Macaca fascicularis: one gene and its partners. The protein of the gene in region 3 purifies or fractionates together with the protein of the main gene of each other region. This does not show direct contact. Links are inferred from orthologs where the notes say so. Each region holds a gene or a part of one and is shown on either strand. Other genes may lie near its edges. The genes, in order: MARK4, TRIM33, PNMA2, PKN2, RECQL4 and CEP290.

Region 1 (2,714 bases), on a different chromosome or scaffold from region 3:
ATCCCAATTACTGGGGAGGCTGAGGCAGGAGAATCGCTTGAACCCAGGAGGCGGAGGTTGTGGTGAGCCGAGATTATGCCATTGCACTCCAGTCTGGGTAACAAGAGCAAAACTCCCTCTCAAAAAAAAAAAAAAAGCCGGGCGCGGTGGCTCAAGCCTGTAATCCCAGCACTTTGGGAGGCCGAGATGGGTGGATCACGAGGTCAGGAGATCGAGACCATCCTGGTGAACATGGTGAAACCCCGTCTCTACTAAAAAATACAAAAAACTAGCCGGGCGAGGTGGCGGGCGCCTGTAGTCCCAGCTACTCGGGTGGCTGAGGCAGGAGAATGGCGTAAACCCGGGAGGCGGAGCTTGCAGTGAGCTGAGATCCGGCCACTGCACTCCAGCCTGGGCAACAGAGCCAGACTCAGTCTCAAAAAAAAAAAAAAAAAAAAAAAAAAACAGAAATTTCTCATTCAAACCATGTGGCCAAGCCAGGCTGGTAGGGCCACCCGGATCTGCGCAATCATTCACGTCCCCAGGTTTTTCCATCCCCATTCCCTGAAGCCCTCATGTCATCTTCACAATTGAGGCTGGCTTGTGCCACTGCTCAGTCCAGCTCCTGGGAGATGCGGGACAGGAGAGCCTGGAGCATGCAGGTTCTCTGAAGGAACTGATGTGGTGGCACACCTCACTTCTGCTCATGTCCCAGAATTTAGAGACAGGGTCACACCTGGCTGCAAGGGAGGCTGGAAAGTGTGGTCTCCAGCTGGGGGGCAGCTCTGTTCCAGTTGAAACTGTCACTGGCATAGCAGGGGAAGTTTTTTGAGGGGACGGCTAGGAATCTGTCCCAAATTGGGAAGAGGTATCCCTTCAGCCCTCCACCACATTCCTCTTCGCTCCCATCTCTGACCCCTGATATCTTCTCACCTCAGTTGCCATCTACCTTGGGATCAAACGGAAACCGCCCCCCGGCTGCTCCGATTCCCCTGGAGTGTGAAGCTGACCAGCTCGCGCCCTCCCGAGGCCCTGATGGCAGCTCTGCGCCAGGCCACAGCAGCCGCCCGCTGCCGCTGCCGCCAGCCACAGCCGTTCCTGCTGGCCTGCCTGCACGGGGGTGCGGGCGGGCCCGAGCCCCTGTCCCACTTCGAAGTGGAGGTCTGCCAGCTGCCCCGGCCGGGCTTGCGGGGAGTTCTCTTCCGCCGTGTGGCGGGCACCGCCCTGGCCTTCCGCACCCTCGTCACCCGCATCTCCAACGACCTCGAGCTCTGAGCCACCACGGCCCCAGGGCCCTTCCTCTTCCTCTCCCTTGTCCCCTTCACTTCTAAAGGAGGGGAAGGGGCCAGGGAGGGGAATTCTCCCTTTATCATCACCTCAGTTTCCCTGAATTAGATTTGGGGGCAAAGATTGTCCCCTCTGCTGTTCTCTGGGGCCGCTCAGCACAGAAGAAGGATGAGGGGGCTCAGCGGGGGGAGCTGGCACCTTCCTGGAGCCTCCAGCCAGTCCTGTCCTCCCTCACCCTACCAAGAGGGCACCTGAGGAGACTTTGGGGACAGGGCAGGGAGGGAAACTGAGGAAATCTTCCATTCCTCCCAACAGCTCAAAATTAGGCCTTGGGCAAGGGCAGGGAGAGCTGCTGAGCCTAAAGACTGGAGAATCTGGGGGACTGGGAGTGGGGGTCAGAGAGGCAGATTCCTTCCCCTCCCCTCCCCTCCCGCTCAAACCCCCCACTTCCTGCCCCAGGCTGGCGCGGGGCACTTTGTACAAATCCTTGTAAATACCCCACACCCTCCCCTCTGCAAAGGTCTCTTGAGGAGCTGCCGCTGTCACCTACGGTTTTTAAGTTATTACACCCCGACCCTCCTCCTGTCAGCCCCCTCACCTGCAGCCTGTTGCCCAATAAATTTAGGAGAGTCCCCCCCCCCACCCCAGTGCTGACCCTAGAATTTTCCTTCCCTGCCCTCACCTGCAAATGAGTTGAAGAAGAGGCCTGGGAATCCAGGCAGTGGTTTTTCCTTTCAGAGCCTCGGTTTTCTCATCTGCAGAATGGGAGCAGTGGGGGTGGGAAGGTAAGGATGGTCATGGAAGAAGGCAGGATGGAACTCGGCCTCATCCCCGAGGCCCCAGTTCCTACATCGGGCCCCCCATTCATCCACTCACACTCCCAGCCACCATGTTACACTGGACTCTAAGCCACTTCTTACTCCAGTAGTAAATTTATTCAATAAACAATCATTGACCCGTGCCTACTCCATGCCAGGTCCAGTGCTGGACACAGAGACACAAAGCCCTGTCTGTGGGAGACATGGATTCTGACACAGACACTGGACAGGGGAGTCCAGAAGAGAAAGCGGGCAGGGTGGGGTCACTGGGGAAGATGCTCTAGAGGAATTAATGCTTGAGTGGAGTGTTGAAGGATGAGTAGGAGTTGGCTAGGCATTGAGTTTGCCCTGGGCAAAAGCCCAGAAGTGGGAGTATGTGGTATATCTTCAGAGAACTGGGTAATTTCAGTGTGGCTACTGTGTTGGGCATGGATGGAGAATTAACAAGAGAAATGCTGTATTAGGACTAATAATCCATCTATACTGCTTAAGCAAAAAGGTATTTGTTGGCTTAGCTTACTCAATAGTACAGGGGCACCTGACTTCAGGTAGGTTTGATCCAGGCATCAGACCATTGCATCTATTTTTCAGTGTAAGTTGAATTCTAGTAGTTTGTATCAAGTAAGTGCA
Region 2 (3,500 bases), on a different chromosome or scaffold from region 3:
TAACTTGGAACACTGAATTAGGAGGAGAAAATAAAGCAAATTTAGATAAAATTTTTAACTTTAAAATATAAAACTATTTACGTTTTACATTTTATGTAAAAATATGTTGTTATTCATTGGAAACTCACTTTAGCTGTGGTTTTGTATGCCAGTCATTACGTCTTAAGAAAGTTGAGAGTCTACTCTGTATATATTTTTTTAATGTGTACTGTTTCTAGACCCCCGACCCGCTATCTTTTAAATTTATATTGACTGTTTCGTATAGAAATCTTAGCAAATGATTCATTGTCTGGAATAATTTCATAGGTGTTTAGTTGTTTAATTAAGCCAAATTGTGCATTAGCAGCAGACTTTTAGGATGCTAATGTGTCCAGTAGTTAGGTCCTGAGGAATGTTTGAAAGATAAGAGTAGCTCTTTTCACATGGAAGAGAAATGGATTTTGCTTTTGTTTACAGCATAGTATGGACCTAAAGACCATAGATGAAAGTTACAGAGAGCTCAATTAAAACACATGCATACAAACTTCTTAGCAATTAGAGTAAGCTATCTACAGATTGAGTAAACTCACTTTCAGAACAGTTAAGTCTTAAACAGTGGGAATTGTAAAAGCAGAGGCTGATTGCCCTTCTGTTATTTAAAAAAAAAAAAGTAATCTTTGCATACAAGAAAAAAATTATATTCAAATTTAGCTATAGCCTTAGTTCTGGCATCAGCCAGCTGTTTCTGTGTGACATGGTAGCTAAGAATGGTTTTTATGTTTTCAACTGGTTGTAAAAACAAAAACCAAGGACTGTGAGACAGATCTTATGTGGCCTGCCAAGCATAAAATATTTACTCTGTGGCCCATTACAGGAAAAGCCTGTCAACCTGCACCTTAAATCACATCTTCCTAAAATTTGGCTTCTGTCCCTGGAAATCTATGGCTCCGTAAAAAGCAAGGAAAACCATCACTTCTAAGGATATAAGTTGTTTAAAGCATTCAGTATTTCCTCAGAAGATGCTTTTGTGGCATTGTAATGCTCTGCCTTGCATATTTTGGCAATTCAAAGGCAGATGGAATCAGTATTAGCAATCTCGAGTATTCTTGAGTAAGTCTTGTCATGGGAGAATTGATTTAGATTGATTCGATAGGCCTCTTCTAATAGATATCTCTTTTAGTCTCTTAGTTTTCTGTACGTCTGTGTAAAAAAGAATAAAGGCAGAGAATATATTTTTCTGAATAACCAAAAGTCATTTATTCAGCTTTGGAATGTATTAAGTTTCTGATCATCATCATCATCATCTTTAAACTGACTCCATTCCCTGCTGTACCGTTGGAGCTTTGAGGTGCTGGTAGTTGTCAGAGGAAAGAGGAAAACATGGTGATTACTCAACAAAGTAGATGATTTAGTTGATTATATGCAAATTCTCATTTTTTAAATTTTTCAGGTAATCTAGTAATAGAGAGTAAACCAACTCCTGGTTATACTCCTAATGTTGTAGTTGGGCAAGTTCCTCCAGGGACAAACCACATTAGTAAAACCCCTGGACAGATTAACTTAGCACAGCTTCGACTTCAGCACATGCAACAACAAGTGTATGCACAGAAACATCAGCAGTTGCAACAGATGAGGATGCAGCAACCACCAGCACCTGTACCAACTACAACAACAACAACACAACAGCATCCTAGACAAGCAGCCCCTCAGATGTTACAACAACAGGTAAGTATGGTGTTACTACATTATTGATAGAAATTATGAAGTCCTCAACGTGACAGTTTTTCCTATGTAAGAAAGTTACACATTTCAGAGTTACTAGCAGGACTTTGAGCAGAGCTCAAAAGTCAGAGTTTAAATATTTGCTGTGGTTATGATGGTGATATAAGGGAGGTATGAAGAAAGGCAGTAAATAAATTTTCTTGGGAAACAGAATTAATTCACTAATACTGTGGAAGGATGTAAGTTCTCATCCTTTCACATCAAATCTTTTTTGTTTTCCACGTGTAATTGTGTGGACCAAAGGACCAGATTGTTTCTGCCTGGGATCTGATATGTTCCTTAGGCATTTGTTCAAATCATTCCTATCCGTATGTGTCTTTTGCTGTCTCCACTGCCATCCCAATCAAAACTATTAATCCAGAATGGGTTAAGTTAATGTTGATACGCTTTAAACACACATACAGAGAGAAAGAGAGGGAACGGAAAAGAGAGAGAGAGAAAAGGGAAATTAGGGAGTGATACACAAACTAGTCATTACCAGTCCTCTGGGGATTGGGGCTAGCGATAAGAATTATTTATACTTTTTACTTGATACCCTTTTATCTTGACTCAATTATTTTTATGATTACATTTTATAATTAAAATATAAGTTTATTTTAAAATTATTACATAAATTGCAATTTCTACTTTTTGTAGCCTCCTCGATTGATCAGTGTGCAAACAATGCAAAGAGGCAACATGAACTGTGGAGCTTTTCAAGCCCATCAGATGAGACTCGCTCAGAATGCTGCCAGAATACCAGGGATACCCAGGCACAGCAGCCCTCAGTATTCCATGATGCAGCCACACCTCCAAAGACAAGTATGCCTAGAGTTACATTTGTAAGAATCCTACAATTTTAAAATTAAAAGACACCATTTTCTTAATCACTTTTTGGGAGCAGGTCATTGATATGTTTGAGAATTTGATTAATGCTGTATATCCTCTTGTCCCAGAAAAATAAACATACACATGAGATTTTGTATTTAATTTTAAGAGCTTTTAAAAATTGCCTTAAGTGCATCATATACTATGGGTTAAGAAACCCTGATATAGTTAACCCATTCAATTTACAGAAGTGAAAAACAAATCTAATGAGCTGGTGATTTTACCCACAATCCCAAAAAGCAGTGATAAAATAGCAAGAACCTTAATGCTGCTCTGCTCTTTTAATGTGACTTTTTGATCCTAATATATAAAAAGGGCTTTGAGAGTAATAGAGCTAACTGTATTTTTTTTTAACCTTTTCTGTACTCAAATATTGTTCCTTTTAGGATGTAGATACGTTTTAATAAGTGTATTTAGATACATGTTTCATAATCTTTGCCTAGTTATGTTTATATGGGAGATATGAGTATAAAGTGAGGCCACTTTTTCATAGGATTTCTAGTTACAATAGAGTTTATTTTTTAACTCTTAGAATGATGTTTCTCAAAACATGTTTTAAAGACCATCAGAATCACCAGTCAGCTTGGGTGGGGTGGGCGACCTTGTCAGAATAGATTCCTAGCCATAACCACTGAATCAGAATTTCTAGGTGGGGAGTACTCAGTAATATTTAAGTTTGTACTAAGTCTCTCAGGTCAGTCTGCATAGTAAAGTTGGAGAAACACTGTCCTAGAACAGTGGTCCTTCAACTTTTTGGTCCATGTATGTCGAGAAAGAGCTCCTTAAAATAACACGCTTCTTGGTTGGGACTGGTGGCTCACACCTGTAGTCCCAGCATTTTGGGAGGCCGAGGCAGGAGGATTGCTTGAGCC
Region 3 (4,180 bases):
CAAGGGCGGTGCGGTGCTCTGAGGCGGTCCGGGGGGCGCTGACCATGGTCCTGGCCTCGGAGCTCAGGACGTGAGCGCAGAAGGCGCCGGCGGAGGCTGCGGGGAGCGGCCGTCGGAACCCCCACCCCTCCCGACCACCGGGGAGCCGCGGGCCTTCACGCAAAGCCTCCACCGCACGCTCCGAGCCGCCTCAAAAAAAGGGTGGGGCACCCAGTTGCAGCTGCCATCGGAAGCCGCCCGGGAGGATTTCAGAAGAATGGAACCTCGGCCAACCCCCTCCCAGGCGACCACCGCCCGCCCCAGCAAGTGATCAGCCCATCCCCTACGCCCACCCCCCACCTCTCAAGCTCAAGGAGACTCGGGCAGCCTTTGTGGGCTCACGGTCGCCCACCGCCCAGCCCGAGCCTCGCCGCACCCTGCGCGGAGAAGGGGCGGGTAGGGCGGGGTGCGCGTGCAGATGCGGGAGGCGAGGTACAGGGCGGGGCATGAAGGCGGGCGCGCCGGGCTCAGGGGCGAGGGAGGGGCGATCCCCGAGCCCCGTCCTCCGTCTCCACCCCCCACCCCCACACCGACCTGGTCGTAGATGTTCTGCAGGGCTTCCTTGCCCGAGGCCCTCCGGATCTCCACCTTCCGGCTCGATTCAACAGATGGCTCCCCGCCGGCGCGCCGGCCCTGCCGCGAGTACGGCGGCTGCGGGTCCGGACCCAAGTGGGCGACGTCCCGCTGCTGAGCCACCACTTGCCCCGAGCCCCGGCCCACCGACAGCGAGTCGAAGTCGATGGTCTTGTTCTCCGAGGACCCTTCCACCGGGCAGAACATGCCACAGAATTTCTGCCGGGGCTTGGGGCTGCCGGAGCCCAGGTTTTTAAAAAAGGCAGGGACCTCTTCGTCCTCTGCCGCCTTCCCGGATTGCTTTCTCTCGGCCATGGCTCGGGGGCTCAGGGAGGGTCCTCGCCGTCCGTCCGTCCGTCTGCCAGTCCCTAACTCTCCCTTGCTGTGTGCACAAGCCCCCTAGCTGCTGCCGCGGCTGCCGCTCGCCGCCCACCGCAAGGTGCACAGAAAGGAAGGAGGGCTGGCGAGCCGGCGACCCACCCTCCCGGTCCCTCCCCCTGACCCCGCTTCTCCCCTCCCTGCCCACGCCCCCCGCGGCTACAGCGCGAGCTCGGGTAAGCGGCAAAGTTGGATCTGGGAGGGCGTCCGCGGCGGCTGCGGGAGCCGAGAGGCTGCCAGTTCCCGGCAGCGCGGGGAGGAGGGAGGCGCGGGTGGGGCGCGGCGCCGGGGAGGGGAGCAGCGCGCAGGGGAGGGCTGGAGGGGAGGGAAGGAGAGAGAGAGGGGAGGGCGGCACCGCCCCTAGCCCCGCGCTCCGGAAGTGAAGCGGCCAGACCACCAGCTAATGGATGCGGAGCGGAGGGCCTGCTGACCGCTCTCCGCGCCTGGGTAAGTATTGGGCAGGGCACGCGGAGTGAGGACCCGAGGGCGCAGCCTTCTGCCCCAGTGCCCCTCTCCTCCACCTGCCTGGTCCAGGCGCCTCTGCCCCGTCGCATGGCGGAGGTGGGCCGGGGGCGAGGGCGCACTGTGGATAGGGCTCCCGCCCCGTTACCCTGGGTGTGAGCTGATGGATGGGAAAAGGGGACAAGCCATGCGCCAGGCTACTCAGGGTATGAGAAGGGGGTTGACACTGAAGATGAACAAGGGGTAGCACACGCAGGGTGGACAGGAGGGGGGCAGCCAAGACGCTGGACACCCAAGCTTCAGTTTGCCCACTCGCCTTGGCAGGCTGCACGGAGCAGAGACTGAAACGAGAAGGTTCCCGCTTCGTGCATCCACTTTGGTGTGGTTGGGGTGACGGGGGAGTTGGGGGACACACAACATGGCGGGAAGAAATGCAGAGGGGCGTAGCAGATGGGAGAGGAACATAGAGAGAGACGCAGGTCTGTGGTCTATGGGGGTGTAGCAAAGGGTGCAGTCGGGAATTCCAGCCCAGTGCCACGACTTAGAGAGGGGGTGCAGACCTGCTCTATTGCCCAAGGCGCCATGGACCATGTCTGCGCCACTGCACCAAGAAGGGCGCAGGAACGTGTCGCGGTTTGGTTTATTCTGCTTCCCCCACCAAAAAAACAAAAAACAAAAAGTGGGCGAAAAAACGAATAGAAACCCCCTCCCCAAATCTCCAGCTTCCCTCGCCCCAGTGCCCCGCCTGATTCCCCCGCCCCTGTTGCGCACTGCGCCACAGCCGCGGCGTTTCCCAGGTTACCAGATGCCACGTGTTTGGGGAGTGAGTGCGGGTGCGTATCTGGTGCGGAGAAGGAGGTAGGATGTGGGCTGTGAGTGCCATGAATTGTGTGGGGCCAAGCGGGGGAAAGGTGTGTAGGAACTTGGTGTGTGTGTGCAGGTAGCTGAGCCACGGCCACAGGGTGGTAAGTTTGCACCAGAGGGCAATTAGATTTGTGTGCTAACACGGTCAATGCGGGTCCTTCATTACTTATTCCCATCTCCACGTCCTTTCCGCCTATCAGTCCCTGCCTCTGCGCGATGACAGCTCCGCCTCTCTTTCCACAGTGGCAAAATCCTGCAGAAATGGTGCCCCTCCTTTGGTGGCCCGGGAGGGAGGTCTGGGCATGCTCAGTAAACCAGGGTGGGTTTGGGCTGAGAGGCCATTTACCGCAGGGCGACCGCGCAGGGCCGTGTAACCAGGAATCCAATCCCATTGTCAGCCCAGGATTAAATGCGGTTACCAACCACCCCCACCATCCAATTGTGAGAGATAGTTTGGTGAATAGAGTTACATCTGGTTGACAACCAGTCGCAGTTTGAAGATCAGCCCACCGTGATAGGTGGAAAGGCGTCTCCGGATGAGAAAGAGAGACTGAGGAAGAATATAGGAGTGGAGGGGCTGAGAGAACCCGAGGGCGCATTTTGGACTTAGCGCCAGATGTGCTTTGCATTTGAATAAAGCATTTGAAAAAAGCGCTTCCTTCTTCATTCCAAGGAAATGAATTATATCATTTCCTCCTCACAGCCCCTCTGAGATGCGTGCCTTATCAGCACTGCTTTCCAGGTTAAGAAACAGATTAAGAGAGCTTGGGGCGCATCGCCAAGGTTGGGTATTTAGTTAAATGATCCAACAATTCCAGTGAGGGCTTCCACCTCAAAGTCTGGCTTCTTTTCCAGCTTGTCCTGTGACCCCCTTTATGTGAGAAAATACAAGGTTCTTCTATTTCTACCGTATCCAGATATTTCCATCCATGGCCCTATTGTATATCAAGGGTGTTTTTTGCCATGTTTTTATTTGAATGTCACACTGCAGGTCACATTGGCAGGAAGAGTCATCCGAAGACAGCCTAACTTCAGCATGGCAGTCATTCTGTAGACCGTAGAGATGCTTTTTCCTGGGCAGTATCTTTTTACATTCCCTGTTTCCTCTAAATATCCCAGTGGGGAGGAAGGTTGCCCCCAGTTGTTTTTTTATTTTTGTTTTTGTTTTCAGAGAGAGTCTCACACTGTCACCTAGGCTGGAATGCAATGGTGCAAACGCAGCTTACTGTAGCCTTTATCCGCTCGGCTCTCTCCTCAGCCTCCCAAGTAGTTGGGACTACAGGCGACTGCCACACGCCCAGCTAATTTTTTTATTTTCCTTTTTGTAGAGACAGGGTCTCACTGTGTTGCCCAGGCTGGTCTCAAACTCCCGGGCTCAAGTGATCCTCCCGCCTTGGCCTCCCAAAGTGCTAGGTTTACAGGTGTGAGCCACTGTACCTGCCCCTCCCCCACAGCCCCCACATTTTAGAAAGGAAATGTCAGGCATGGAGAAGTCAGCAGTCTCAGGTCTGTGAGACTCCTGGGCACAGGGTGAAGCAGTATTTTGCCCTCCTGGCTCTCTGGCACCGCTGGTGCCTTCAGCACCTCCTAGAAGACTCAGGAGATGTGCCCACAGCAGGAGCACTGCTGATAGAGTTACAGGACAGCACTGTGGCGTATGGCCCCCATTCGAGTTGATGAAGATGTTTAGGCCAAGGGGGAAATGGTTGTAGCCCCTTAACACATACTCCGCAGCAGTAACTGGGAGGTATTAGGAACTCTAACTTTTTTTTTTTTTTTTCGAGACAGAGTCTCGTTCTGTTACTCAGGTTAGAGTGCAGTGGTACGATCTCGGCTCACTGCAGCTTCCACCTCCCAGGTTCAA
Region 4 (3,953 bases), on a different chromosome or scaffold from region 3:
GCGTGTGACAAGTACGTAATATTACGCTTCCTAAGAATTATGTCAACGAATGTCCTTCCTAAGTAGCAACCTACCTAAATAACCCTTACCACTTTCTCCAGGTAGTTTTTAACAAAGGAATTGCACCGCAGCTTCAAAAAATTGAAAGTTACGTGTTTACCTATCCATTCACTGCTCAGACAAAACAAAAACAAAAGCTACCTGTGGGAGACTTCTAAATTCCTTAATACTACAGTGTCATTAAAAACAAACACCTAGATTTACTCTACTTAGCTATATGTTACTAAGTAGTCAGGTTAGCTTTAATGCTTACCACGACAAGGAGAGTTGGCTTTTTTCCTTTCCCGAGGGTAATCCCGTCCCACCTCCTCCCTCTTTAAATAAAGTTAAAACAATCCAAAAAACCAGCTAATTCTCAGCTCTAGAGTTCTCCAGCACAAGAAACAGTAGTTCAGCTTCAAGAAAAAGGCATCTTAAAGGCTGTGCATTAAAAGTTGCCAGGGATCCAGCCGCTTACATTTCATGAAAAGTACAGACCAGACCCGTTTAGCAAGCTGCGCACCTTAACTGGTCCAGAAGGCGCGCTGTGGGCTGGGGAAGAGGGTGAGCAAAAGGCAAGATTATTAGTTTGGGTTGATGGGGATGGCCGGGCAAGGGAAGAACAGAGGAGTAATCTGTAAGATCTGAGTTCCGAAGCTTTTTGGGTTGTGGAGGTTACAAAAGTGCCTGTTAAAGTTAGGCCCAAGCTTCGGCAAGGTAGAACTGGGGGGAAAAAAAGAAAAAGAAAAAAAATAAAAAACCTAAAAAAACAACAGCGAGCAGGCTCCCGAGTTCTAGTGTTCACAGTGAGGCCGTTAACGCAGCAGGAAAGTAGGCGTGTGTTTTCTTCCTCTTCCCGCCTCCCCAGAGACTCCAGCCCAGTCCTTTCCCCTCATTTTCACCCCAGCCGAGTCCAATGGCTGCCCTCGCGCGGAGTCGGGTCGGAAGCCGCCCCGCCCTCTCGCCTTGCTAGCCCTGGGGAACCCCTCTGCCCCACCTTCCCAGCCCGATGAGAGGCAGTGACTGCCGCCGTCACGTGTGCTGGCAGCCGCCAAGTGAGGCCGCTTTTGCGACGCGGTGACAGCCAAATGGTGCGACAGGAGGAGCTACAGCCGCGGCCGCAGCGCCCCGCACGGAGAGACTTGAGGCGGCTCCTGGCGTCGCCCAGAGGGAGCGACTAGGCGAACAGTCCGGTGCGGGCGGCGGCGGCGGCGGGCGGGCGGCGAGAGGAAGCCCGCTACGAGTGCCCTCGCACCCCCGCCGCTCTCGATGAACCGGACGGAATAAGCCGCGCCTCCAGCAGGGGCTGCGCCTCCATGAATCCCTAGTTTTTGTGTTTTTTTTTTTTCTTCTCTCCCCGTTCCTCACCCCCCACCCTGAGCCCCGTCCCGCCTTCTCCCTTTGCCAGCGGCGGCCGCCTCCAGGTGCGGAGTCCATACCGGAGCGCAATGGCGTCCAACCCCGAACGGGGGGAGATTATGCTCACGGAACTGCAGGTAAGGGCCGCGGCCCTGGCGAGAGTCGCTGGCTGAGTAGACAGGGAAAGAGCCCCGCGCGGCGTCGGGGACCAAGGAAAGCCCTGCGGCCGCCGCGCCCCTAGCCCGCTAAGTGCGGAAAGTCCGGGATGTCACTCGGGAACTGCTTCCCTCGGGGAACCGCTTCCCTCGGGAGCCAGACCCTCTCCCCCGCCAAAGCCCTGGCCTGCCACCGCTTTGCTTTGATTCTGCCTACCAGAGGGAACCCCATCTCTGCAGCCCTGCTGCAGCTGGAGCCTGCTCTCGCCCGGTCCCTGGAGAGGCCGGCCCGTCGCCCCCTCCCGCGGTGTCAGAGCTGCCCGCGAACGCCCCTGTCGCCCCCTCCCTTCGCGCGGCTGGGCCCCGCCCCGCCTTTCCTCCGTACTCGGCTCCTTAAACTCTTTTGAATGACTCCCAAGCTGTTTTCTTGTCCCTCCCCCTCCCCTCAGACTCCGCACAAAGAGCGCCCCCATAACTTCCAGCCCCTAGACAAGTTTTTTTTAAAAAAACGAGTCTCACCAAATGCTTGCTTCACTTCGCCAGCCCTCTTCAGGTGGCAGAATTTCTTTCCTCTATTTTGAGAGTTATCTTTTTCTTTTCCTTTTTTTTTTTTTTTTTTTTAAACTAAGTGATAGATACACGGTGCCTTTCTCGGCTACCCCTGCCCAGATCCGGAAGCTCAGATGCTGATGCTTTTCAGACTTTCATTTTCCCTCTCATTTGAGCACCAGAGAAAGAGCTATATAAGTTGTTTACTAATGAGAAAGGGAAAACTTGGGCACCACATGTCTGCAAAAGATAAGAGCAAAATAGATCGCTTAGTTAAGTCCATGTCGAGTAGCAGTATTATTATTTTCCCATTTCCAGCTAAATATTTGATGATGTAGGCACGATTTTCGTTTTTAGATCTCTATGGTGTACATGGGGACTTAAGCTACCCTGTCGGGTTTTTCATTACTTGGCAGTGTTCCAGAAGTGTTTACATCTGAATTTTAACAAAGATGTTAAAATTTCATGTTTTTTTGACTTAAAAGTTATTTTGCTTTATTTTAATATAGTTATCTTTTAGCTACTCGAAGATTGTAGATGGGAATTAGGGAAAAAAATAGCATGCTTGCATGTCTTTTTGTGTGTTGGACAGTTAATTTTTTTAAAGAAAGACTAAATCTAGAAATTCTGAAACAGTTGATTCTTGATGTCAAAATTAAGTATTGCAACTGCATCTAAATTTCTTGTTTAAATACACTTTTTAAGAAATCTCTTTATAAGTTTGGTTTCTTGTGCAGTCAGACGTAAGGTTGAAAACGTTGGTATAATAGTTGATATTCCTCCACAAAAATAGAGATTGTAACAATGTATACCAATGCAGTGTTGCACATTTAGAATCCTTTGGTAATGCAAAGCTGAATTTCATATCATTGAAAATGTTGCTATGTAATATTTTAATTACAGTTAGCCTTTTATAAGCAGATCGTACAGCATACCACATTTGCTAAATGAATGTAATTTACTATTTTATTAATAGTAAATAATTTGCATCAGCTTTTAAAATGGAGATGATGTGAGGCAAGTGAGAAATACTTTACATTACCTGGTCTTGAACCATGAAAAACATACTTTGGTTTTGATTGAGAAGGATGATAGGGTCAGTTTTCTTTTGAATTGAGCAGTGTTCGAGTTATAATATATTTGGCATTGTTACTTGTATTTTATAGAAAATTGGCATAAAAGACACCTACTTTGGCACTGGAACTGAAAATTATATTTTCATGTGTATTAAAATACAACATTTAGGATCTTTTAATTAAAAAGATCAATTTTGGTAATAACAAGGAAGCAAGCAAAGAAGGAAGAAATTTTCAATATGATGACTTAGAAATATGACCAAAATAGAGGAACACCTAAAGTTAAGCTTCTAGATAAACTGAAATATAACCCCTTCCAGAAAAAAGAATAGTTTTTATTAAGTGTTACCTTATAGGTTGTCATATATCCAAGTCATTTTCTTGGTTTATTTGACTCCCAGTTTTGATAAAAGTTATTGCATTTAAACTTTATCGTGTTTATTAAAATTTTTGAGAATATTACTTACATCAACACTAAAGATAGTCATAAAGTTTGCTTCACCAAATATTTCCATCCGTTCAAACATTTTATTTCATTGGGTCCTGAAACTTAGTGTACAGTAACCAAGTATTTATTAAACTTTCGTTTCAAGAATCAGTTTTTTTAAAAGCTTCTAAATTGTTTGAACTTAGACTGAAATACTGTTTAATATGACATTCTTAATTCTTTTCTGCCATACAGATTTTAAGTATTTAAGAAATTCTGTAGCCAGTTTTAAGATGTATTTAATGGTTAAAACTGTTACTTTGCTATGTATCCTGTCTCAGGAATACT
Region 5 (4,021 bases), about 120 Mb from region 3:
TCCAAGCCTTCAATATAAGCCCCCCCCAAAAAAAACTATTCTCCAGAGTGTCACCAAGCACGAAGACCCCTGAAAGAAAGCAACCTTCACCTTTGGTGGCTCTTACCAGTGGCCTAAAACCTCTCCCTCTTCCCTGGAGAGCCACTGTGGAAAGAACAAGTCTTAAGTATGTGGGATTCGGAAGGTGCAAGGCTACAGATTGCTCAGACAAGGCAAAGAAAGCTGCCTAAGCAGCACCCAAGCTGCAGAGATGCGCGCGAACACTCCCAAGGCCACAAGGTACCTGTGACACAGGGTGCCAGCCCTGCTGCTGACTGCAGCATCCTCAAAACTAAATCGCAGCCATCTCCCTGTGACAGATTAGAAAATGAAGGCCTAGGCCTGGCCCAAGGTCACAGCCTGAGTGACAAGTCAGGGAAGGGGTCTAGGGAGGACACTCTGGCCCCAGGGCCCTTGTTTTTGCACATACAAATAAGTCCTTAAAGAACCGCTTCCTGAAAAGTCCCAGACACCAACCCTCGGTCTCATTCTGAGATCTCAACGGTCATACCTCGCTCTGACAGGACAGACCAACCGAGCACCTGTCACGGGAGTACACGAAAGCAGACGGCCTGGCCACCAAGGGAGGCAGGCACCTCCGTGCGAGGCCCCCGCCCCTCCCGCCGGCCACGGGGAACGCGTCGGCCCTCGGCTGCCTGCGTTTCGAAAAGACGCCCCCGCCCGGCTCCTCTGGGCCTCGAGTCGCGGGAGGCGCTGGTCCCTCCGCTCTTTCTTGTCCCGGGCGGGGCCTGCTCCTCCAAGCCAGGTGCGTCTCCCACCAGGGCCTGACGCCGCTCCGACCGGCCGGGGGACTCCCAGTCCTTCCCGGCCCGCTATGGCACCGCCCGGGCTCCCGGCTTCGGCCCCGGGCTCCCAAATGCAGCTACTGCCTCCCTCAGCCGGGCCGCCCCGAGCGACCGCTGCCACGCCCCTTGCGGCCAGGCAGGGCCAGGGACGTACGCCGCCCCACTCCGACCCCCGCCTGGCCGCCTGCGCTCACCGGTCCCGCAGCCGCAGCCACCGCCTCCGGCCCCGCCTAGACCGTCCGCCGCGCCCCGCACGGCGCCGCGGCGCCCCGCGATGACGTCGGCGCCCCCCATTGGTTGCTTGTCCAGGGCCCGGCGGATTGGCTGCCTGGTCGCGGTGGCCCCGCCCCCGGCCTGCCGCGCGCCCGCATTGGCTGTTGGCCCCATCGTCTGCGGCGCGGGAGATTCGCTGGGCGGCCGCTGGACTGCTCGGAGACCTGGCGGGCCCGCCATGGAGCGGCTGCGGGATGTGCGCGAGCGGCTGCAAGCGTGGGAACGCGCGTTCCGGCGGGAGCGCGGGCGGCGGCCGAGCCAGGTACGGGATGCCCTGGGGCCGAGGGGCTGAGGGCGCGGCCCGCGGCTGACGCGTTCCCTTTACAGGATGACGTGGAGGCGGCGCCGCAGGAGACCCGCGGTGAGCGCGCGGCGGGGTGGCGGGGTCCCGGGTCGACGGAGGCGGGAGGACGCCAGGTCGGCGGGGGCCCAGGCTCCACCCTGACCCCGCCTCCCGCCCGCCCACGCAGCGCTCTACCGGGAGTATCGTACTCTCAAGCGGACCGTGGGCCAGGCCGGCGGCGGGCCCCGCAGCTCCGAGTTGCTCCCCGTGGCCGTCGAAGAGGTATCCAGGCCCCGCCACCCCAGCCTCCTCCCACTTTCCTGTTTGGCGGAGTGGCAGGAGCCACGGAGTCGCGGCCAGGCCTCCGTGGGGCACAGAACTTGGGAGGGGGACTGAGCAAAGTGAAGACGGGCCGGGCCTCGCTCCAGGTGTGAGGGGGTGGGTGGGAGCGCCTCTGCTTCCACACCAGCCTTTTTCTGGCCTGCGCCCCTACTGTCTCCTGCAGGCACCAGAGTCCCACTGCTGGGGGCCCCACCTGAATCGGGCTGCAACCCACAGTCCACAACATACGCCAGGGCGGAGCTGCCAGGGGTCGGTGCCGGACTACGGGCAGCGGCTCAAGGCCAACCTGAAAGGCACCCTGCAGGTGAGGAGTTAGCAAGCAGTGAGTCCACACTAGGTCCAGAGGTGCTTCTGGCCCGGGGTTGTTTCTTGTCACTCTTTCCACACAGACAGGCACAGGCTCCTGTGCCAACCAGGGCACGAGTCTCCACGGAGTTTCTCGGGGCCTTCGCCCTTGACTCCCTTTCTAGGCCAGCCTTGTGCTAATTAGCCTGTCTTACCATTGAAGGTGGGAACTCAGGCAGGTTTCAGAGTCTACAGAAGCCCAGGGGCCTGAGTTTCTGCTGCCATTCTGTTCCCTTCCCAGGCCGGACCAGCCCCAGGCCGCAGACCCTGGCCTCTAGGAAGATCCTCATCCAAGACGCCCACCCCAAATCCCCCAGGCACAAGGCCTGTCCCCACCTTTGCAGAAAAAGTCAGTGATGAGCCTCCACAGCCCCCTGGGCCCCAGCCAAGGCCGGGCCAGCTGCAGCACCTGCAGGCATGCCTGAGCCAGCAGCTGGCCTCCCTAGATCTTGACTGGTTACAGCGATGTCACAGTGAGATCCCAGACTTTCTGGGGGCCCCCAAAGCCTGCAGGCCTGGCCTAGGCTCAGAGGAATCACAGCTTCTGATCCCGGGTGAGTCAGCTGTCCTTGGTCCTGGTGCTGGCTCCCCAGACCCAGAGGCTTCAGCCCTCCAAGAAGTCAGCATCCGTGCAGGGAGCCCCCAGCCCAGCAGCAGTCGAGGCAAGAAGCAGAGACGGAACAAGGAGCTCTGGGGGAGCCCCGCACAGGTCCAGCAGCAGAGCAGCCAGGCTGGACCCCCATCGGAGGGGGCTGGGGCTGTCGCACTTGAGGAAGACCCTCCAGGGGAACCTGTACAGGCACAGCCACCTCAGCCCTGCAGCAGTTTGTCGACCCCCAGGTACCACAGATTCAGCACCTCCAGTCAAGCTAGGGCGGGTAAGGCTGAGGGCACAGCCCATCTGCACATCTCTAGGCTGGCCCGCCATGACAGGGGCAATTACGTACGGCTCAACATGAAGCAGAAACGCTACGTGCAGGGCCGGGCACTCCGTGGCAGGCTCCTCCGCAAGCAGGTGAGACGGCGATGGACTGGGACAGGCCCTCCCTTTCCCTCCCCTCAGCACCCCTGCATGTCCCACCCAGTGACCCTCCTATGTGGGCACCCTTCAGGCATGGAAGCAGAAGTGGCGGAAGAAAGGGGAGTGTTTTGGGGGTGGTGGTGCCACAGTCACGATCAAGGAGTCTTGTTTCCTGAATGAACAGTTTGATCACTGGGCACCCCAGTGTCCTCAGCCAGGTGAGACATCTGCCCTGGAGGGTGGGTCTGGCCACCACTGTGGAGAGGGCACGGTACTCTTTTGGGCGACACTTCTGTTCCAAGCAAAAGACCTTCCAGGTGCCCCTGGTCCAGGCCCTACTCTGGCTCCCCCAAAGCAGGGTGGCAAGGATGAGGATGGGTATCAACCTTTTATGCTTTAAAAGAAGTAGCACAGAAGAAGGGCACTGCCTGCTGCCAACCCCTTTGGGGGAAGAGAAGGTTGTGGCCAATGGTTGTTTTGCTTGGAGCTCCCATTCCACCTTCTCTTGCCTGCCCCAGTAAGTGAGGAAGACACAGACCCTGCTGGCCCTGAGCCGCTGGTTCCTGCACCACAACCTGTGCCTGGGGTGCCCGGCCTGGCCTCCACCATGCTGCCACTCTACTCCTTGGGGCCCTCAGGGCAGCTGGCAGGTAAGCAGTCAGCTGCTGGCCCAGAGCCTTTACCGAGGGGTTGGTGTGACTTAAGTCATGGTGGTCAACACCTGTGTCTGCAGAGACGCCGGCTGAGGTGTTCCAGGCCCTGGAGCAGCTGGGACACCAAGCCTTCCGTCCTGGGCAGGAGCGTGCAGTCATGCGGATCCTGTCTGGTGAGCGTGGCTGCCGGGGCTGAGGCCGGGCTGAGGCCAGGCTGCAGAACCCCGCTGCTGACTCGCGCCCCACACAGGCATCTCCA
Region 6 (3,500 bases), on a different chromosome or scaffold from region 3:
TAGATACGTGTTATTCTAATGTTCAGAATAAATTATGAACTGAGGCTGGGCCTGTCAACTTGAACACTGTGCGAGGGAACATGCCTACCGGTCTAAATACATACATATATGGAGATACTGTTTCTTCCTCATCTCGAAGGAATTTTAGAAGATTAAAGAGAAAATATATAAGGTCTTCAAAATGTGAATTTATTTTAATCACAATTTAAGATATAGTTTTGATTTTCTTTAAAACAGGAGCAAAGAGAAATTGTGAAGAAACATGAGGAAGACCTTCATATTCTTCATCACAAATTAGAACTACAGGCTGATAGTTCACTAAATAAATTCAAACAAACAGCTTGGGTAAGATTCTAAGAACTTTGTTCCATTCTTTATTGATTTTTAGACCAAATACATTAAAATTCAGTTATCTTCTCCTTTTTTGGAATACAAGTTACGCTTTTTGTTGCCAAAGTAATCTTCTGAAAATGTAGCTCTGATCATTCTTCCTCCTGTAGCTCATCACTGTTCACAAAATTATATTTATACTCCTTACCCATATACTCAATCTTCTATGAACTTACCTGCCTTTCTTTTCAAATTCTATTCACTATAAGTTTACCTATATTTAACTTCCGGAATTCAGCTCATATTTGCCTCTTTTGACCATTCTGTTCCATATGTATGAAATGATGTGTCTTTCATCTTTTAATGTATAACCTTAGCATATTTGAGCCTTACTTCATTAATTCAGTCAACATTTATTGATCTCCTGCTACATGTAGACACTTTGTTAGCTATTGTAAATACAAAGAATAAGGTCTATATTTCCTGTCTTCTTTAAGCCTTCATTATCTGTTAAATCATTAAATTTTAGATTAGATATTGTATTTTGATCATTTGAAGAACCAATTTAAAAATATAGAATAAGTATGGCATTGAAATATACATGCCTGTTTGCTAATATATTCATATTTTATAGGATTTAATGAAACAGTCTCCCACTCCAGTTCCTACCAACAAGCATTTTATTCGTCTGGCTGAGATGGAGCAGACAGTAGCAGAACAAGATGACTCTCTCTCCTCACTCTTGATCAAACTAAAGAAAGTGTCACAAGATTTAGAGAGACAAAGAGAAATCACTGAATTAAAAGTAAAAGAATTTGAAAATATCAAATTACGGTAAGTCTTCAAAATGTATTGTAAAAATAGGCAAATGATAATAATGATATAATGAAGATAAACATAAGTGTTTGCTATGCTAGGCACTGTTCTAAGACTTTTAAGTATATTGTCTCATTTTTATCCTCAGGTCTACTGATTACATATGTTATCATTTTCCCCATTTTATAGAGAGGATATGACCTCAGGAATGCTTAATAGCATGCCTGGGAGTAGATGGGAAAGCCATAATTTGAAACTAGTCAGTCTGACTCAAAAGCCAATACAAATTCTTTTCCAGAATCTCATTTTTACCTTATTCAAACCTCAGTTTCATCTTATTTATTTATTTATTTTTATTGTTTTATTTATTTATTTATTTTTGAGAAAAGTCTGGCTCTATTGCCTAGGCTGGAGTGTAGTGGCATAATCTCGGCTCACTGCAACCTTGACCTTCTGGGCTCAAGCTATCTTCCCACCTCAGCCTCCAGAGTAGCTGGCACTACAGGCAGGTGCCACCACACCTGGGTAGTTTTTTGTATTTTTGTGGAGACAGGGTTTCTCCATGTTGCCCAGGCTGGTCTCGAACTCGTGAGTTCAAGTGATCCGCCCACTTCGGCCTCCCAAAGTGCTGGGATTACAGGCCTGAGTCACTGCACTTGGCCTCATCATCTTTAAAATGGAAATAGCAGTACTTACCCTGGCCCTTTCAGGGTGGTTATATGAAGGTCAAATTATACCATGTATGAAAGTAATTTGAAAACTGTCAAATAACATACAGATAAAAAACTTTTGTTTGCACACTTATAAGAGTGTCTGGCATATAATAGAGATTCTAACATTGTTCAACCAATTTATCAGAACATAGATTTTAAGCTCAAAATAGGTTTATAGTTTCGTAGTTTCTAAACATTGTAGTATTATCTGTATGGGCCTAAATTTTATTATCTGAAAAAACATGAGAAAGTTGAACTACTTGACTTATAATTCCATTTCAGCTCTCAAGCCCCTATTAGAGCCTTTGATTCTTTACACTCTTATTCAAATGCCTATGACAGAATTAACACTATTTTTGTTTTACTAGGGAGCTGCCACTGTTAAGAAATTACTTTCTAAAAGAAGGAAAATTGGCAGCAGCATATGTGTATTTTCAGTCTCTTTTCCTTGCTCTATTAAATTTTGTACATGAGATGTTATTTTTGGTCTAGTAAATTTCTGTCATGTTTTGGAGTATAAAATGACTTGTGCTTTTGCATCCAATTTGTGGGTGTAGAAAATAATAATCTTTTGAAATACCTTATATAATTTTTTTCCACATGAAATAATTGAAGTTATTGTTGTGTACCTTATCATGTCATTGTAGCCCAAAATTGTACTTGTGTTCTCTGTGTGCCCATTTTGATGTATATTAGGAAATTATGGATCCGTGTGATTACTTAAGTAAAACCTGATATTTTCACAATTTGATGATGACTCTTTAAAGTTAGACTTAAGTTTTGCCAAAAGCAAGAAGCCTCAAAGAATAACATTTGTTCATGTGTTAATGCTGTCTCCCTCTTACTGGTCAGAACCTCAGTACGGATGCAGTGTCCATATGCACAACAATATATTAATTCAGTTTAACAGACTTAATGCTGAATGAGCAATAAGATTAATTGAATTAACTAAATCTTTTAATACTATCCACTTCCATATATATATATAGTTACAGATACAATGCTAGTGAATTTGTACCATAAACAAATAAATAATACATGTGATTTCTGTGAAAATTTATATTAGTCTTTTCAATATGTCAATATAGGGCAGTATTTCTCAAATATAGAGGATCAGTTTTTCACAGTTGTACCTCTTGGGGACATTTGACGATGTCTGGAGACATTTTTGATTGTCATGGCTAGGGGGTGCTACTGATATCTAGTGGGTAGAATCAAAAGATGCTACTAATCATCCTATCATACACAAGGCAACCCCACTAACAACAAAGAATCATTCACTCAAAAATGTTACTAGTAGTGTGGTTAGGAAACTATCATATAGAGGAAGCAGTCAAATTTTACAAGAGCCATAGTATCTAAAATGCCCTTTTGTTCATTCTCTATATTATTTGATTAGAGTCACAAAATAATTTGATAAGATTGTTGCCAAAAATATTAGAAACTAGAAGAAAAACGTGTTGTTAAATTAAAGAGTAGTTAAGTGAAATAAAGAATTACTCTTCTCTGGATTTGGCTGCCTGCATCAAGATTTAGATTGTAAGGATAGTTAGGACTGAACATTTGCTCTGTGTGAAATTTGTATTAATCAAGGTATTAATTGCAGCAACCACTCTATTAATTACATGTGTTTGGCCAGGT

Evidence for each region.
Region 1: the proteins of PNMA2 (region 3) and MARK4 purify together in Homo sapiens (co-immunoprecipitation; 3 studies listed by BioGRID and IntAct, with this or other methods). This does not show direct contact. The link is inferred for Macaca fascicularis from reciprocal best matches to the Homo sapiens genes PNMA2 and MARK4.
Region 2: the proteins of PNMA2 (region 3) and TRIM33 purify together in Homo sapiens (affinity purification with mass spectrometry; 3 studies listed by BioGRID and IntAct, with this or other methods). This does not show direct contact. The link is inferred for Macaca fascicularis from reciprocal best matches to the Homo sapiens genes PNMA2 and TRIM33.
Region 4: the proteins of PNMA2 (region 3) and PKN2 purify together in Homo sapiens (affinity purification with mass spectrometry; 3 studies listed by BioGRID and IntAct, with this or other methods). This does not show direct contact. The link is inferred for Macaca fascicularis from reciprocal best matches to the Homo sapiens genes PNMA2 and PKN2.
Region 5: the proteins of PNMA2 (region 3) and RECQL4 purify together in Homo sapiens (affinity purification with mass spectrometry; 3 studies listed by BioGRID and IntAct, with this or other methods). This does not show direct contact. The link is inferred for Macaca fascicularis from reciprocal best matches to the Homo sapiens genes PNMA2 and RECQL4.
Region 6: the proteins of PNMA2 (region 3) and CEP290 purify together in Homo sapiens (co-immunoprecipitation; 3 studies listed by BioGRID and IntAct, with this or other methods). This does not show direct contact. The link is inferred for Macaca fascicularis from reciprocal best matches to the Homo sapiens genes PNMA2 and CEP290.

Annotation. Positions count from the first base shown.
Region 1 is NC_088393.1:53,353,924-53,356,637, forward strand, and holds the end of MARK4 (MAP/microtubule affinity-regulating kinase 4), read left to right. Parts: intron 1-917; coding exon 918-1,254; 3' UTR 1,255-2,214; downstream 2,215-2,714. UniProt on the Homo sapiens protein: Serine/threonine-protein kinase. Phosphorylates the microtubule-associated protein MAPT/TAU. Also phosphorylates the microtubule-associated proteins MAP2 and MAP4.
Region 2 is NC_088375.1:119,949,503-119,953,002, forward strand, and holds part of TRIM33 (E3 ubiquitin-protein ligase TRIM33), read left to right. Parts: intron 1-1,429; coding exon 1,430-1,704; intron 1,705-2,397; coding exon 2,398-2,562; intron 2,563-3,500. UniProt on the Homo sapiens protein: Acts as an E3 ubiquitin-protein ligase. Promotes SMAD4 ubiquitination, nuclear exclusion and degradation via the ubiquitin proteasome pathway. According to PubMed:16751102, does not promote a decrease in the level of endogenous SMAD4.
Region 3 is NC_088382.1:29,696,248-29,700,427, reverse strand, and holds the start of PNMA2 (paraneoplastic antigen Ma2 homolog), read left to right. Parts: upstream 1-1,380; 5' UTR 1,381-1,437; intron 1,438-4,180. Other genes in the region: DPYSL2 (dihydropyrimidinase-related protein 2), read right to left, coding at 574-927.
Region 4 is NC_088375.1:146,012,151-146,016,103, reverse strand, and holds the start of PKN2 (serine/threonine-protein kinase N2), read left to right. Parts: upstream 1-1,153; 5' UTR 1,154-1,487; coding exon 1,488-1,535; intron 1,536-3,953. UniProt on the Homo sapiens protein: PKC-related serine/threonine-protein kinase and Rho/Rac effector protein that participates in specific signal transduction responses in the cell.
Region 5 is NC_088382.1:154,229,658-154,233,678, reverse strand, and holds the start of RECQL4 (ATP-dependent DNA helicase Q4), read left to right. Parts: upstream 1-1,221; 5' UTR 1,222-1,296; coding exon of another isoform or gene 1,297-1,312; coding exon 1,313-1,380; intron 1,381-1,445; coding exon 1,446-1,479; intron 1,480-1,588; coding exon 1,589-2,047; intron 2,048-2,329; coding exon 2,330-3,103; intron 3,104-3,200; coding exon 3,201-3,327; intron 3,328-3,627; coding exon 3,628-3,759; intron 3,760-3,842; coding exon 3,843-3,935; intron 3,936-4,012; coding exon 4,013-4,021. UniProt on the Homo sapiens protein: An ATP-dependent DNA helicase which unwinds dsDNA with a 3'-overhang in a 3'-5' direction. Does not unwind more than 18 bp of dsDNA. May modulate chromosome segregation. The N-terminal domain (residues 1-54) binds DNA Y-shaped DNA better than ss- or dsDNA.
Region 6 is NC_088385.1:95,016,416-95,019,915, reverse strand, and holds part of CEP290 (centrosomal protein of 290 kDa), read left to right. Parts: intron 1-237; coding exon 238-345; intron 346-964; coding exon 965-1,164; intron 1,165-3,500. UniProt on the Homo sapiens protein: Involved in early and late steps in cilia formation. Its association with CCP110 is required for inhibition of primary cilia formation by CCP110.